Linked DNA regions of Cricetulus griseus. The protein of the gene in region 1 interacts with the protein of each later gene in a pairwise test. Links are inferred from orthologs where the notes say so. Each region holds a gene or a part of one and is shown on either strand. Other genes may lie near its edges. The genes, in order: Bptf and Maz.

Evidence for each region.
Region 2: the proteins of Bptf (region 1) and Maz interact in a two-hybrid assay, tested with the Homo sapiens proteins (2 studies listed by BioGRID). The link is inferred for Cricetulus griseus from reciprocal best matches to the Homo sapiens genes BPTF and MAZ.

What each region holds. Positions count from the first base shown.
Region 1 is NC_048600.1:119,991,436-119,998,315, forward strand, and holds part of Bptf (nucleosome-remodeling factor subunit BPTF), read right to left. Parts: intron 6,457-6,880; coding exon 5,600-6,456; intron 4,440-5,599; coding exon 4,357-4,439; intron 4,154-4,356; coding exon 3,928-4,153; intron 1,077-3,927; coding exon 733-1,076; intron 1-732. UniProt on the Homo sapiens protein: Regulatory subunit of the ATP-dependent NURF-1 and NURF-5 ISWI chromatin remodeling complexes, which form ordered nucleosome arrays on chromatin and facilitate access to DNA during DNA-templated processes such as DNA replication, transcription, and repair.
Region 2 is NC_048596.1:73,725,465-73,733,119, forward strand, and holds Maz (myc-associated zinc finger protein), read left to right. Parts: upstream 1-3,745; 5' UTR 3,746-3,878; coding exon 3,879-4,070; intron 4,071-4,143; coding exon 4,144-4,994; intron 4,995-5,369; coding exon 5,370-5,433; intron 5,434-5,698; coding exon 5,699-5,870; intron 5,871-6,623; coding exon 6,624-6,826; 3' UTR 6,827-6,848; intron 6,849-7,160; downstream 7,161-7,655. Other genes in the region: kinesin-like protein KIF22, read left to right, coding at 687-846, 1,223-1,278, 1,978-2,190, 2,274-2,333, 2,463-2,510. UniProt on the Homo sapiens protein: Transcriptional regulator, potentially with dual roles in transcription initiation and termination.

The DNA.
Region 1 (6,880 bases):
GGTGACTTAGGCAGCACCATTGGAGTGGCTTCTGTGAAACCACATACAGACACTAAAAATTTCTAGTTCTAGATCATGTTTTTAAAGCACAGTTAAACTTTTCGTACTGTAAAATACTGGTCTATATTAGCATGTTCAACAGAAGTTAAACAGTGAATAATAACTGAAAAAAAAAAACAAAAACAAAAACAGGAACAAGAAAGTATATTTATGGACTAGTATCTCTAAAATCTCATTTATGTTACCAAATATAAGTCAAGACTGTCAAAAACAGCTTCCAAATACTGTGCCCATCAATTTTTGAATGTCAAACTCACAAAGTGCGGTAAAGGAGCACTATGCACTTTTTTTTTTTTTTTTTTTTGCTTTTGTTTCCAATAAGATAGTGGAACCTTAGACAAAAATATTTTTTAAAAAAGGGAACTGATGTGACACCTCTGTGCCATCCATTTTGGAATGGACTCTGGGCTGCAAGACACAGTGCTGGCAGATTGATTAGGAGCAAGTCCACAAAGCGCTTTGGGAAAGCAAAGAGGCCACAGCAAGCTTGTTTTTGACAGAAAAGGACATTGCTGAGGACAAGCAAGACCCATGAGCGTGTGGAACAGCCCCCTTACTGCACTGTGTCAGGCCAAGTATCAGATGCAAGATGAAGCCCAGCCTCACACTGGCTCGCCCTCACCCGTGCTGCCAACTGCTCACTCAACAGCGAAGCTGGGGACAGGCACTTACTTGGACTCGTCGTAGGGCGTCTTGCAGATACAGTACAGCCGGGTGTCTTTCTTGGCCTCCTTGGAGGTCGTGGAGATCATCTTCTTTTTCTTGGATTTGGAGTCCTTCTCCTCCTCCCGCTTCCTCTTCTGGGAAGCGACAGGCAGTGGGGTTGTGGGGTGGCCCGCAGATGGCACACTGTGTGCCAAGGGAGGTGAAGGAGGAGGTGGGGCTGGAGAGGCTGCTGCTGGTGGGGCTGGAACTGGCGCTGGCACTGAGGGTGTGGACACTGCAGCAGCACTGACCTGTACCAACTGTGCCATGTCTCTCTCTCTCTTCATTTTCAGGTCTCTCTTCAGCTCTTCCTGTGGTCAAGTGAAGACAGACAGACGATCACCAGGGTTATGGGAAGGAGCAACCTGGGCAGGACCTGGACATTATCCCCACCTGGCAAATATCACCCACAGTCCCCCCACCCCTGCCCCACACACCATTCTTTTTGTTTTTTTGTTTCTCTGTATAGCCCTGGCTGTCCTGAAACTTGATCTGCAGACCAGGCTGGCCTAGAACTCAGAGAGATCCACCTGCCTCTGCCTCCTGAGTGCTGGGAAAAACCGTGTATCACACTCATTCAAGCAGCTCCTGTTAGGAGTCTGCACAGGAACCAAACACAAGACTCAAAGCAAGGCCTGGAGGGAGTAAGAGAAAGACTGTCCTTGTTTACCATGCTTTGCTTGGATTTAAGATAGTAGACCTAGGCAACAAAATACACAATGTTCTAACTGGGTGCATAGCCCGAGCTATGACAGAGAAGCAAGAAGATTACAAATTAAAGGTTGTCCTTTGCAACACTGTTGAGCTTGAGACTCATCTGGCCTACGTGAGACCTTGTCTCAAAACAAAACAAACAAACACCTCCCAAAACAACACTAGTTTCTCTAAACATGCTTAGCCAAAAATGAGTACCCTGAGCCCGTGAGATGGTTCAGTGGGTAAAAGTGCTTGTCACATTTCTACAGAGATGATGAGAGGCTGGGATGGGACCCCCCCACACACACACACACACTGACCTTAGGGCTCAACTAAACTGGGACACTTTTTTTGTTTTGTTTTTCAAGACAAGGTTTCTCTGTGGCTTTGGAGGCTGTCCTGGAACTAGCTCTTGTAGACCAGGCTGGTCTCAAACTCACAGAGATCCGCCTGCCTCTGCCTCCAGAGTGCTGGGATTAAAGGTGTGTGCCACCACTGTAAAGCTTGTAACACTCTTTTAAAATGCTAATCCACCCTGTCTCAAAAAAATCCCAACACATGTGGCTGGAGGGATGGCTCAGAGGTTAAGAGCACTGACTGCTCTTCCAGAGGTCCTGAGTTCAATTCCCAGCAACTACATGGTGGCTCACAACCATCGTTATGAGATCTGGTGCCTTCTTCTGATACATGGAAGCACAATGTTGCACATATAATAAATAAATAAATAAATAAATAAATAAATAAAATCTTAAAAAAAAAAAAAATCCCAATACACCAACTGCAGCTGAAAAAGGGCTGTAACAACTGCCTGTTGCTCTTCAAGACATGCAGAGTTTCCAGCAGATGAGCAACAGTGGCTGCAATAAGGCTAACTGGATGGAACCCTGGCACCTATAGGAAGGAGTCCTACACATTCTAAAGGAGAGCCTGCCCTGGACTTGGGGTACAGGTCATCATCCCAGCATTCATGAGGCTGAAGCAGGAGGCCCAGGAGTTTGAAGCCAGTCCTGGGCTAAAGATCCTGTTGGAAGCAAATCAAAGGCAGAGGCTTTATATAGATGTTTATAGAAAGAGAAAATGAGCACTTGGGAGGCAGAGGCTGGCGGATCTCTGTGATTTTGAGGCCAGCCTATTCTACAGAGCGAGTTCTAGGACAGGCTCCAAAGCAATACAGAGAAACCCTGTCTCAAAAAACAAACAAACAAACAAACAAAAGAGAAAATGAAATAGAGAATAAAACAACTATAAGAATTGCTTCCCAAGATTTCAAAAATGGCAACAATATTTTCTTAGTATTTTGTTTTCTGTTTTACATTTAAAATTTTATGTTTTTCATATTTATTTATTTATTTATTTATTTATTTATTTATTTATTTATTTATTTATGAGGCATGGTCTCACTATGTAGCTCTGGCTGTCCTGCAATTCACTTAGACCAGGATGGCCTTGAATGCCTCCCAATGGTAGGATTAGAGGTATGAACCACCAAGACAGGCCTGGAATAGTCACTTTAATGTCACGTGCAAGGCTGTAACTTATAGGTTTGATGCTCTGTGAATAGCTAGCTCTCTTAACCTGCACTGTATCACAGCACCAAGTATGGAGTTGTATTTTAAGTTTTCTGATTCTACTGTGAATGGACTCTCTTTCCCGGGATACTGGGACAACAGTTGTACTCAGTGTTAATACTAATGCTGGCAACCTTAATTCTGTTAAAATTTTATTATGGTTTCCCTGGGGATGTAATGTAATAATTACACCACACACAAAAAGAATTCTGTCTTCTTTCTTGAAGTTTGTGCTTCCTTCTTTCATCTTCCTCCAGTGAATAACCTGATTGCTGGCTCTGTCTGGTTTGTCTTCTGTGGGACCTCCAGTCTTTCAGGTTATGTAAGGTCGTTTGTTGGTTTGATGGGTATTTTAGTAAAATGTACAAAATCCCTTATTTGATGCTGTCAACAGCCTGCTTCTTTGTCAGAAAGCTCTGTAAATATTCATGAATGGATTAATAGTGCCTACAGTATCACTTTCAGGGTAGGAAAAATTGCACAAATGTGTTTTCCCATGTTCACATTACTCTGCATTCTTCTGAAATGTGTTCTGGATGAACGATGACACAGACAATAAAAGCACACCACATCCAACATAGCTAAAACAACTCAGCCCATGCTGGGCGGTGGTGGTGCACGCCTTTAATCCCAGCGCCCAAGAGGCAGAAGCAAGTGGATCTCAGTGAATTCGGGCCAGCCTGGTCTACAGAATGAGTTCCAGGAGAGACAGGGATATACAGAGAAGCCCTGTCTAGGAAAAACAAAAGACGAAACAAACAAGAAACCCAAAAAAGCTCAACCCTCTTGGATTGGAGGAAGATAAACTTCCATGCTACAAACACACAAATGTAAATTCTAGAACAGGAGCTGGCATTTTGGCAGGTGTGTCCAGCGCCTGTGGGGCGCTCGCTCCTACCTGCACCTGGATCTGCAGCTCCTTGTCCAGGAGGGCCCTCTTTTTCAGGATCTCGGCTTTGAGCTGCTCCTTGTGTTTGAAGAGCAGAGCAGAGAGCTTGCTGGCATTCTGCTTGCTCCGCTTCTGCTCCACACTCTCTTCGCGTTTGCGTTTCTTTGCCGCCTGTTTTTCTTCTTTATCTATCTTATCCAGAATGTACTTCATCACCTGGTTACACACAATCATTCTAGAGGAAAACACACAACCTCTGTAACACTGGCTGTTCCACCCTGAGAGGTAAGGCACCATTTGTCTACATCCCTAGATGATGTACAAACGCACTGCAGAGTTTCAAGGAGCATCTATGGCCGCTCCTGGCATTAAACTTGGGTAAGACCAAAGCCAAATCAAACTGTGCAGATTCTCAGGTGGGCCTGTGTCTCTCCCTACCTTTGATTTTCTTCTCTTTCAGCTGGAGTCATGGTCTTTTTCTGTTTTAAATGTTCTATTACAGCATTATGCTTCATCACCACCTTGAGAACAGAACAAATGCATAAATGCACACTTTATAACAGACACAAGTTCAGCTAGCACACAGGTAGAAGTAACAACACACGCCGATTTTACAACTAGTAAGAATTGTGTAACTAATACAGATAAAAAGACAGCTGCTAGGTGGTCCCAGGGTCTTACCGTGCACCAAGTACTGAATTAAGCTAAGCACTTGACATTGTTTATTCTCCATGGTAAGACTGAGATGTAGGGATACTTTTTTTGTTCTCAAACACTGAGACACAAAGCAATCAACCAACTTGTTTGAGATTAAATAGTAACACAGCCCAAAACTTTCACCCAACTCTCATGCTCCAAAGGGCTTCACCAACTGTAGCCACCAGGTTGAAGAGTACCCTGCCCCTTACAAAGATCTGGAAGACAGGTCCTGGAGTAACACTCAGTTTACACATGAAACAATACAAGAGCTGGGATTTGAGTATGTCACAGAGGACTTACGTTCATAAAAATAACACCTTATACCTTCACAACCACATACATGATGGGATTTAATCATAACACTCCCATGTGGTTGCAGAGAGACAAGTTTAATGCGGACACAGCTCAGGGAGAAAACAGTGCTTCAGAGCTTGCTAAGACTTGGAACCTCTTGCCTAGTGCTGAGGGGGGCACGTGGCTGATGCCAGAGTGTCCTCGGGAAGACTGCAGGTCACCAGCTTCGTTCTGGCAGAGCTCTGGCTGTCTACAGTGACTCCCTCACCCACATACTAGTCCAAGACGCCCCTGCTGCACACCACCGCCTTCCACGGACGCTACGGACACACATCTGGGTTTAAGACATTTTTACAAAGGTGTGGCAAGCGATGCAAATGAATTCAGTCTGCCCACAATTTGCTTAGTCGATAGGCAAATGAAGGAATGACACTTGCAAATCAGATGACTTCAACTGAATCACTCCATTTTGATGGTGGCCTCACCACTTGGTTTCCTACCAGGGAAAGGCTACATGCCCATTAAGGAGTCCCAAACCAAAATGGGCAAGCAGTGTTCTGGTCTTCTGAGGCTATCCACCAGTGACCATGTCTCAGTCAGGAAGCCTACCACAACCAAAGCACTAAGTGTACCACACAGCACAGTAATTCACACTACCCAACATGCTGCTTTGACTTAATGTCGTTACCTGTTTCTGAATGACTTCCCTCTGGGCAGAAGCTTGGAGGGTGTGTTCACGCTCAATCTCTATCTGCTGCTTCTTCTTTTGCTGCTGCTCCCTGAGATGCTGAACCCTCTGCAACTGCTCTTGCAAACTGGCTGCCTGCACTGTGACCACACTCTGAACATGCTGAGTCTGCACAGCACTGCTTTGCTGAACTTGAATGGGTAACTGAAGTTTGATTTGCTGGGGCACACCACCTTGCTGAGCCTGTATCTGAGCCACAACCTGTGACTGGATCTGAGAGAGAACCTGGACTTGCTGGAGCTCAGGCACAGCAATGACTTGGGGCTGCAGCTGCTGTGTTTGTAGCTGAGGACAGCATGGGGATGAGACAGTAACTTGACTTAATGTTTGTCCTGGAGAAAGAGTTTGAGTTGAAGACTGTACCTGGGGCTGTGACTGTGGCTGGCCTTGGGAAGGTGTCTGCAGAGATGTGGGGGGCGGGATTGGAATCGGCTGTGAGCTTGTAGTCTGAACCTGGGGTTGCTGTCCAGGAGTCACTTGGGATGGAGTTGATGGACGTATTCGAGTCAATGATGGGCTCTGGGCACGAACAGGAGACTGTCCTTGGACATTGCTCTGAGGCTGACACTGTTGCTGGGGTTTAGATGACTGTGTCTGGGAGGGCTGTGCTTCAGAAGGGGTTTGGGACGAGACTTCAGGCTGAGCTGGGGACTGGGGCTGGGGCTGTGCTGCAGGCTGAGGAGTCTGTGGCTGGGCTTCTGCAGGACTCACACTTGATGACTGAGCTGGCGCCAGGGTAGTGGCTGGTTGGACCTGGGTCTGAGGTGACGATTTACTCTGTTTTTGTTCCCCCGAACCTGTAAAGAAAAAAAGACAAAGTGATTTCCCTGGCTTTAGTATGCAAGACTATGAGGGTATTTCCTGAAGCCTCGGGTTCGAGGAGGACTCAGAGTAGCCATCTCCTAGGCTGGGGAGCTGGGATGCTTCCTGCATGCTTCCTGTATGTCACCTAGGTGTTCTGAGGCACTCAAGCTTCACGCTTCGGCTATGGCATGGCAACAGGCACTGATGGCTTACAGGAGGCTGGTTATGAGCTGTGTGGACTCACCCTCCTTAAGCTCACCTCCAGGGCTTCACCAGGATTTTGTTTTGTTTTAATCAGGAAAGGGGGGTACAGGGAGTCTAGGAACAAGGCATGGAAACACAGAGGCTGGCTGTGTCAGCAGTTCAGCTGTTAAGCAGGCTGGAGGTGGAACATTGGGCCCTGCTACTCGAGAGGCC
Region 2 (7,655 bases), on another chromosome or scaffold:
ATATTACCCGGGGCTAGAGATATGACTTGTAGTAGTTAAGAACACTGGCTCGGCTGGGCGTTGGTAGTGCACGCCTTTAATCCCAGCACTCGGGAGGCAGAGGCAGGTGGATCTGTATGAGTTCAAGGCGAGCCTAGTCTACAGAGCGAGTGCCAGGATAGGCTCCAAAGGTACACAGAGAAACACTGTCTCAAAAAACTAAAAAATATAACTAAAAGAATATTGGCTCAATTCCTCGCAACCACATGGTACCTCATGATGGCCTATGACTCCAGTTCCAAGGAATCCAACCCTATCTTCTGCACCAGGCACACACATAGTACACAGATATACCTGCAGGAAAAACACCCACACACAGAAAAATATATAACCTGCCTAGAGGCAGGCAGCTCTTTGTGAGTTTGAGGTTGGCATGGTCTATGTGTGGCTATATAGTGAGACATTGTCAAAAAAAAAAAAAAAATCCATTTCATAAAACCTACCTGCTTGAAGACTTAATTCTGTCTTTAGGTAGCCCTCTGATCATTAGGATGTCCTTAGTTATTTTGAACTGTCTCCTCATTGAATATCTCCTACTGGCCCCACTTCCATCCTCTTGGACCTCAGAGCTCTGCCTGCCTCACCTTCCTAATCCACTGCTTTGGGGCTGGAGCTGAATCACATCTTCCCATGATCCTTTCCAACAGAGGCTTAAGATGAAGCAAAAAGAACTAGAGGCCAAGGTGCTGGCCCAAGAGGCACTGGATCCAAAGGAGAAAGAGAACACGTGTCTCCAGCCCCTTCCCTCTTGTACAGGCACAGTGGCAAAGCCTCTGAAAAAGGCTGTGGTGATGCCCCTGCAACTGAGTAAGTTTGGTTCCAGAGTCTATGTCAGAAATGAAAAGATGTAAAGAGCAGCTATCCTCTTGTCACTCATACCCTCCCACTGGATCTGAACAAGCCCTGCATGCTTGTCATACAAGGGTATTGGCTGAATATGGTGGCACCCACCTGTAACCCCCAACACTCAGGAGAGGGGAGCAGAAGGATTGCTCTAAATTCCAGGTTAGCCTTGGTTATAGAGTGAGACCCTGTCTCAAAAAAAAAAGGAAAGAAAAAAGTCATTTGGAAACAACAAAAGCTCAGGTTGGAGAAATATGAGAAGCAAATGGCTACCAGGGAGGTAGGGTGGGAAGGAGGTTGGTTGCCTGTGCCCTAACCGGTTCCTGATTCCTGCTTTCAGTTCAGAAGCAGACAGAGTCGAAGATCCATATCCTGAAGAGAGGCCACAAAAGAAAGGTGAGCTGACCTCACCCTGGTTTCCATTGGGAATCTCTTGCATATGGTGACGCTTTAAAGACTTGGATGAAATGTTGGGTGTATTTAGTGGAGTAGGTATCCACCATTTGTCAGTTTCTTTTTTATTTTTATTTTTTGAGACAGGGTTTCTCTGTGGCTTTGGAGGCTGTCCTGGAACTAGCTCTTGTAGATCAGGCTGGTCTCGAACTGGGATCAAAGGTGTGTGCCACCAACGCCCAGCGGTCAGTTTCCTTTCTTTGTGATGCTTCTTGCACTTAAGATTGGATACTGGCTGGACTTAGTGTATAGCCTAGCTCCTGCCTCTATAAATTGTAGAGACCATTTAGGGAAATGACGGGTATTTAAGAACCTCTCACACAGGTATTCACATAAACTGAACACTAGGAGAACTGTCCCAAACTGTCAGGATGAGGTAGGGTGCTTACTGTTTTTTCTTTCTCCTGTACTGGAGATTGAGACCCCAGTCCTCAAGCGTACCTAAGTGCTCTACAACGAACTATAAACTCCTAGTCAGACGATGTGTATGTTCATTTATTCATCGAATCTTCACGGCAACTGAGAAAAATGCTAGTAATTATACAAATCCAACAAAATTAGTGCCAGAGTGGGGAGGGAGAAGGTAAGGTCTTGGCAGTCATCCACAGGCCTTTGCTATCTATTATTCCTGTTACCTCATAGCCGGAGCCATCCGATGTGTCCGAGCCTGTGGAAAAGGCTGAGGACTGCTGGGAGCTACAGATTAGCCCAGAGTTACTGGCACATGGGCGCAAAAGATTATTGGATCTGCTGAATGAAGGCTCAGCTCGGGATCTGCGCAGCCTGCAACGCATTGGCCAGAAGAAGGCCCAACTCATCATGGGCTGGAGGGAGCTCCACGGCCCCTTCAGCAAGGTAACAACCTAGAGAAGGCAGGTGGGGCGGGGTGCCCAGTCAGGTTCTCTGTCCACATCCTTCCGACTGCCGCTGTTCTCTAGGTGGAGGACTTGGAACAGGTGGAAGGCATCTCTGGAAAGCAGGTGGAGTCTTTCCTGAAGGTAGGAACGCCTCTGCCCTTTCTCCGCCAGCCTACATGTTGTGCCCCAACCCCACCCACCCCTTCCACTGCCACCCGACCCCACACCACACCCGGCTGCTACACTGACGCGCTTTACTCTTCCTTACAGGCGAACCTCTTGAGCTTGGCTGCGGACCAGCACTCCGCTCCCTCCTGACTACCAGCTCTTAACACTACCTTTTTCTTTTAAAATCCTTGTATAATGACGTGTTTGTGTAAATACAGTTTTTATCCCATGCTTGAGCCTGTTTTTTTAGGATGGCGGGGCTAGGGTGGGAGCCACAATTGCCCTTGGGATCAGGATCGAGCGCTCTGCGGGGCACTTAGCTGGGCGCCATCTTTGGGAAACCCCGAACTAGTCCAAGATTGTAAATAAACCACTGGGATGGGAAGGGGACGGTGGCCTAGGCGAATCAAAAAGCCGAAGCGGAAAGCTTAAGAACAACGACCGTTAGGCGGGCACGCGCTTCTAGTTTAGCCCCGCCCCACTGTAACTCTCTCTGCGCGCTCCCCACGCTGTTCTGGACGACGCCGCTGTTGTGTGCGCGTGCGCGTGAAATAACGGCTGCTGGCAGAGGGAAGTGGGGGGTGGAATCGTTGAAGTGGGGGAAGAGAAGCCGCCTAGTCTCCCGCGCGCCCACCACCTGCACCACCGCCAGCCAATCAGCAGCTGTCTCGAGGGTCTCGCGCTCGGGGCGACTCGGGCTGCTGGGTGGCTCCCCCGTCCCTCCTCCCTCCAGAGTCCCTCCCGAGCCTCCCCCCTCCCGCTGGCCCCGCGCGCACTCGCGCTCGCGCCCGCTCCAGCCTCTTGTGTGTCCTCGCGCCCCCCGCCCGCCCTCCGGCGCGCAGTGTGCTCCGCTCCCCCACCCTCTTCCCCCTCCCTCCCTGCGCGCCTCCCCCAGGCCCCCCTCCCCCACCGCCGCTCTCCCGCCCCGGGGTGAGCGCGAGCCACCTCCCTCCTCCCTCCGCCATGGATCCAGCAACTGGAGCAGCTTCATCTTCCAGGTAACAACCCCCGCCCCCCCCGCCCCTGCCCCCCCTCCCACACCCCTCCCGCCCGCCCTCCCTCCCGTCCCACCCCCCCTCCGCGCGCCCGGTGCGCGCGCAGCTGTCCCCCCTCCCTCTCCGCCCTCCCCGCCCTCCCGAGGCGCCGGCTGGGCGCGCGCGCGCGGCGGGGGCCGAAGCTGCTCCCTCGCTCCCCCCACCCCGCCCCGCCAGGCTCCAACTGCCGCCACCCGCCGCCGCCGCGCGCCGCCCGGGCCCCCGCCCCCGGCCCGGCCCTCGCCCCGCGGGCCTCTCGCCCCCACCCAGGGGCGTCGCCGCCGCCGCCGCGCTCCGCGCCCCACAAGACGCCCTCCTTCCCTCCCTCCCGCCGGCCGGGGTGCGCGGCGGGCGGGCGGCCCTCGGGCCATGCATTCGGCTCGGCCCAACCCGGCCGGCCGGGGCGGCGCCCCGAGCCCGGGCCCCGCGCGGCCCGTGCCCCCGGCTCCCGCTGAGCTCCGGGGGCCCCACTGTGGCCGAGGCCATGTTCCCCGTGTTCCCTTGCACGCTGCTGGCCCCCCCCTTCCCCGTGCTGGGCCTGGACTCCCGGGGGGTGGGCGGCCTCATGAACTCCTTCCCGCCACCTCAGGGTCACGCCCAGAACCCCCTGCAGGTCGGGGCTGAGCTCCAGTCCCGCTTCTTTGCCTCCCAGGGCTGCGCCCAGAGTCCATTCCAGGTGAGTAGGGGCCGGGCCGGGCGGGCAGGCGCCGACCAGCGACCGCGGCCCACACGGCGCCTTGTCTCTGCAGGCCGCACCGGCGCCCCCACCCACGCCCCAGGCCCCGGCGGCCGAGCCCCTCCAAGTGGACTTGCTCCCGGTCCTCGCCGCCGCGCAGGAATCGGCCGCGGCGGCTGCGGCCGCGGCAGCTGCTGCCGCTGCAGTGGTTACTGCACCCCCAGCCCCTGCTGCCGCCTCCACAGTGGACACAGCGGCCCTGAAGCAGCCTCCGGCGCCTCCTCCGCCACCCCCTGCCGTATCCGCACCAGCCGCCGAAGCCGCGCCCCCCGCCGCGGCCGCCACCATCGCCGCAGCGGCAGCCACCGCTGTCGTCGCCCCAACCTCTACAGTCGCTGTGGCCCCTGTTGCATCTGTCTTGGAGAAGAAGACAAAGAGCAAGGGGCCCTACATTTGCGCCCTGTGCGCCAAGGAGTTCAAGAACGGCTACAATCTCCGGAGGCACGAAGCCATCCACACAGGAGCCAAGGCTGGCCGGGTCCCTTCGGGTGCTATGAAGATGCCCACCATGGTGCCCCTGAGCCTCTTGAGCGTGCCCCAGCTGAGCGGGGCCAGCGGGGGAGGGGGAGAAGCCGGGGCTGGCGGAGGCACAGCCGCAGTGGCGCCCGGTGGCGTTGTGACCACGACCGCCTCTGGAAAGCGCATCCGGAAGAATCACGCCTGCGAGATGTGCGGCAAGGCCTTCCGCGACGTCTACCACCTGAACCGACATAAGCTGTCGCACTCGGACGAGAAGCCCTACCAGTGCCCTGTGTGCCAGCAGCGCTTCAAGCGCAAGGACCGCATGAGTTACCACGTGCGCTCACATGACGGCGCTGTGCACAAGCCCTACAACTGCTCCCACTGTGGCAAGAGCTTCTCCCGGTGTGCAGGGGCCTCGGCTGCCCACTAGGCCGATGGTGGGGGGAGGGCAACAAGGTGGCCTGTCTTTGGCTGGTGGGGAGGCGGCTCCCGATGCTGGGGACAGGAACCACTCCCAGGGAGGAGGGAAGTGAGCCTCGTGGTTACTGGGAGCAGGGGGTGGTACTTGAGAGGAGGTGGGTCTTTGGGCTGGAGGAAAGCCGCTTCTGGGCAGAGATAGAATCCTGTTTTGAGCGATTTCCTGTCTAAGGACCAAAGATGTAGGGGAAAATTCTGGGGTTCTTGGAAAGGCACTTTGGAGAAATCTAGGCAGATTTGAGAAGCATCTCACCTTGGAGCCTTAGCCCTAACCCCCCCCCCACCTCAACATATCCCTAGGCCGGATCACCTCAACAGTCACGTCAGACAAGTGCACTCAACAGAGCGGCCCTTCAAATGTGAGGTAGGAAGCCCGCTGCCTCCTGTCCTGGTTTTCATGATTTTGATCCTCACTGTAGCTGTCTGAGTTCAACCTCTCAGACCCCCTTTTTCTCTCTCTTTTTGCCTTTTCACTCCATTTTCGCATTTCTCCTTCAAGGCCTGGTCATCTCACGCCCATTTCCTACAGATCAAAGACCCCCAAGGCTCTGATCCCTTTATCTTGCCCCCTTCTCTCTACTCCCCGAAGCTTTAACTCTCCTGTGACCCCCCCACGCCCTCCCCCCCAGAAATGTGAGGCAGCTTTTGCTACGAAGGATCGACTCCGAGCGCACACAGTACGACACGAGGAGAAGGTGCCATGTCATGTGTGTGGCAAGATGCTGAGCTCCGCTTATATTTCGGACCACATGAAGGTGCACAGCCAGGGCCCTCACCATGTCTGTGAGCTCTGCAACAAAGGTACATGCTAAGGGATGCCAGGAGGGCAGGGACAAAGTGGGAGTAGGTGGGCACAACGCTGTTGGTTGTTTTCATGGATGTGGGTTAAGGGTGCTGTAGCCAAGAGCTCGTGGCATGTAGAGAGAGCCCTTTAAGAAGCAAGCACAACAGCATTGGAAGTAACTGAGCACTAAATTCTATGCCATGGCCCAGAGGAGACAGTGCACCAAAGAGTCAACCTCCTGGGTGTGCCTGGGGAAAATGAAGTGGGCTCAAGAAAGCCAGTCCCCAGGGTTTCAACTTTGCAGCCACAAGTTCTTGTCTCCAGCTCCTGGGGCAAGTCGAGAACATCAGCACGGGTGTAACAAGCACACACCCTGCCCAGTAACAAAAAGCTGTTTTCAGTGTGGTTATTCACTATACGATCTGAGACCAGGGCACTGGAGAGGGGGGGACACAGCCGTCTCTACTGAGAGTCAACCCTTCAAAAAGCTAGGCCACAGTGTCCTGTCATTTGGGAGAGATCTCCCAATTATGGGGGAAGATCTCTGTAGGTATTAAGGATTAAGAAACAGGTACCATGCAAACCAGGCCCCAAGCTCAGGGAAGGGCTATGTCCCAGTGGAGTAGTTGGCCCCAGCCTACCAAGGATGTGGTGGGAGGAGGACAGTGCCATGTGAGGAGGGTGTCCCCAGCCTAGGAGAACAGCCCTGTCTCTGGGGTCTCCACCAGGCTGACCCCCCACTCCCCATCCCAATCCACCCCCCCCCATAGGCTTCACCACAGCAGCATACCTGCGCATCCACGCGGTGAAGGACCATGGGCTCCAGGCCCCGCGGGCTGACCGCATCCTGTGCAAGCTGTGCAGCGTGCACTGCAAGACCCCTGCCCAGCTGGCCGGCCACATGCAGACCCATCTGGGGGGGGCCGCCCCTCCTATCCCGGGAGATGCCCCCCAGCCACAGCCTACCTGCTGAGGGGGACCCCTGCACCCACCAGGCAAGGCGTGGGACATGGCTGGGGGGGCAGGATGGGATGTGTGGGACAAGGGACTTCAAAGGGCCCAATAGGGGATCTCAGGAAGGCCAGGGATGCCAGTTTGTCACTCAGATTAGGGAGACTTGGGGTCCAGAGAAGGTAGTACAGAATTGCTGTGTGGGTAAGTCAGGCAGGTCAGAGTCTCTGGGGGCCAGATAGGAAGTAACGGCTGTGTCCCAGGGGAAGTAGGGAAATAGTTGGGAAATCTGAGGGTATGGAGCATGTTTCTTGCCATTCAGGTTGTGCTGTGATCCTTGGTGTTTCTCACTGTAGGTACTGGTGAGGTTTGTCCAATGGCGGCGGCGGCGGCAGCAGCAGCAGCAGCGGCAGCAGCAGCAGTGGCAGCCCCTCCCACAGCTGTGGGCTCCCTCTCTGGGGCAGAGGGGGTACCAGTGAGCTCTCAGCCACTTCCCTCCCAGCCCTGGTGAGCTCCAAGTTGATGGGAGCGAGGGGAAGAGCAGAGGAAAGCTCTTCTTGGTACAGTCTCCTCTTCTCACCAACTCCTCACTGCTCACCATCAACCAAGGAGCCTCCAGACAGAGGAGGAAGAAGGAATTCACTAGGTTTAACAATGTTTCTCCTGCTCCTTTCTTCTCCCTATCAGAGCTGACCCTCCAAACACCTGTCCCCTGAGTTGTGTTGAAGTCCCCTGGACAGTGAGCAGGGGTGGCAGAGGACAGCAGCAGTCACTGCCCTCAACCTTTAAACCCCTTGCCTTTCCTCCCAGGGATTTGTGAGCCTTTCCCTAGAAGGTCCTGTGCTCTCCTC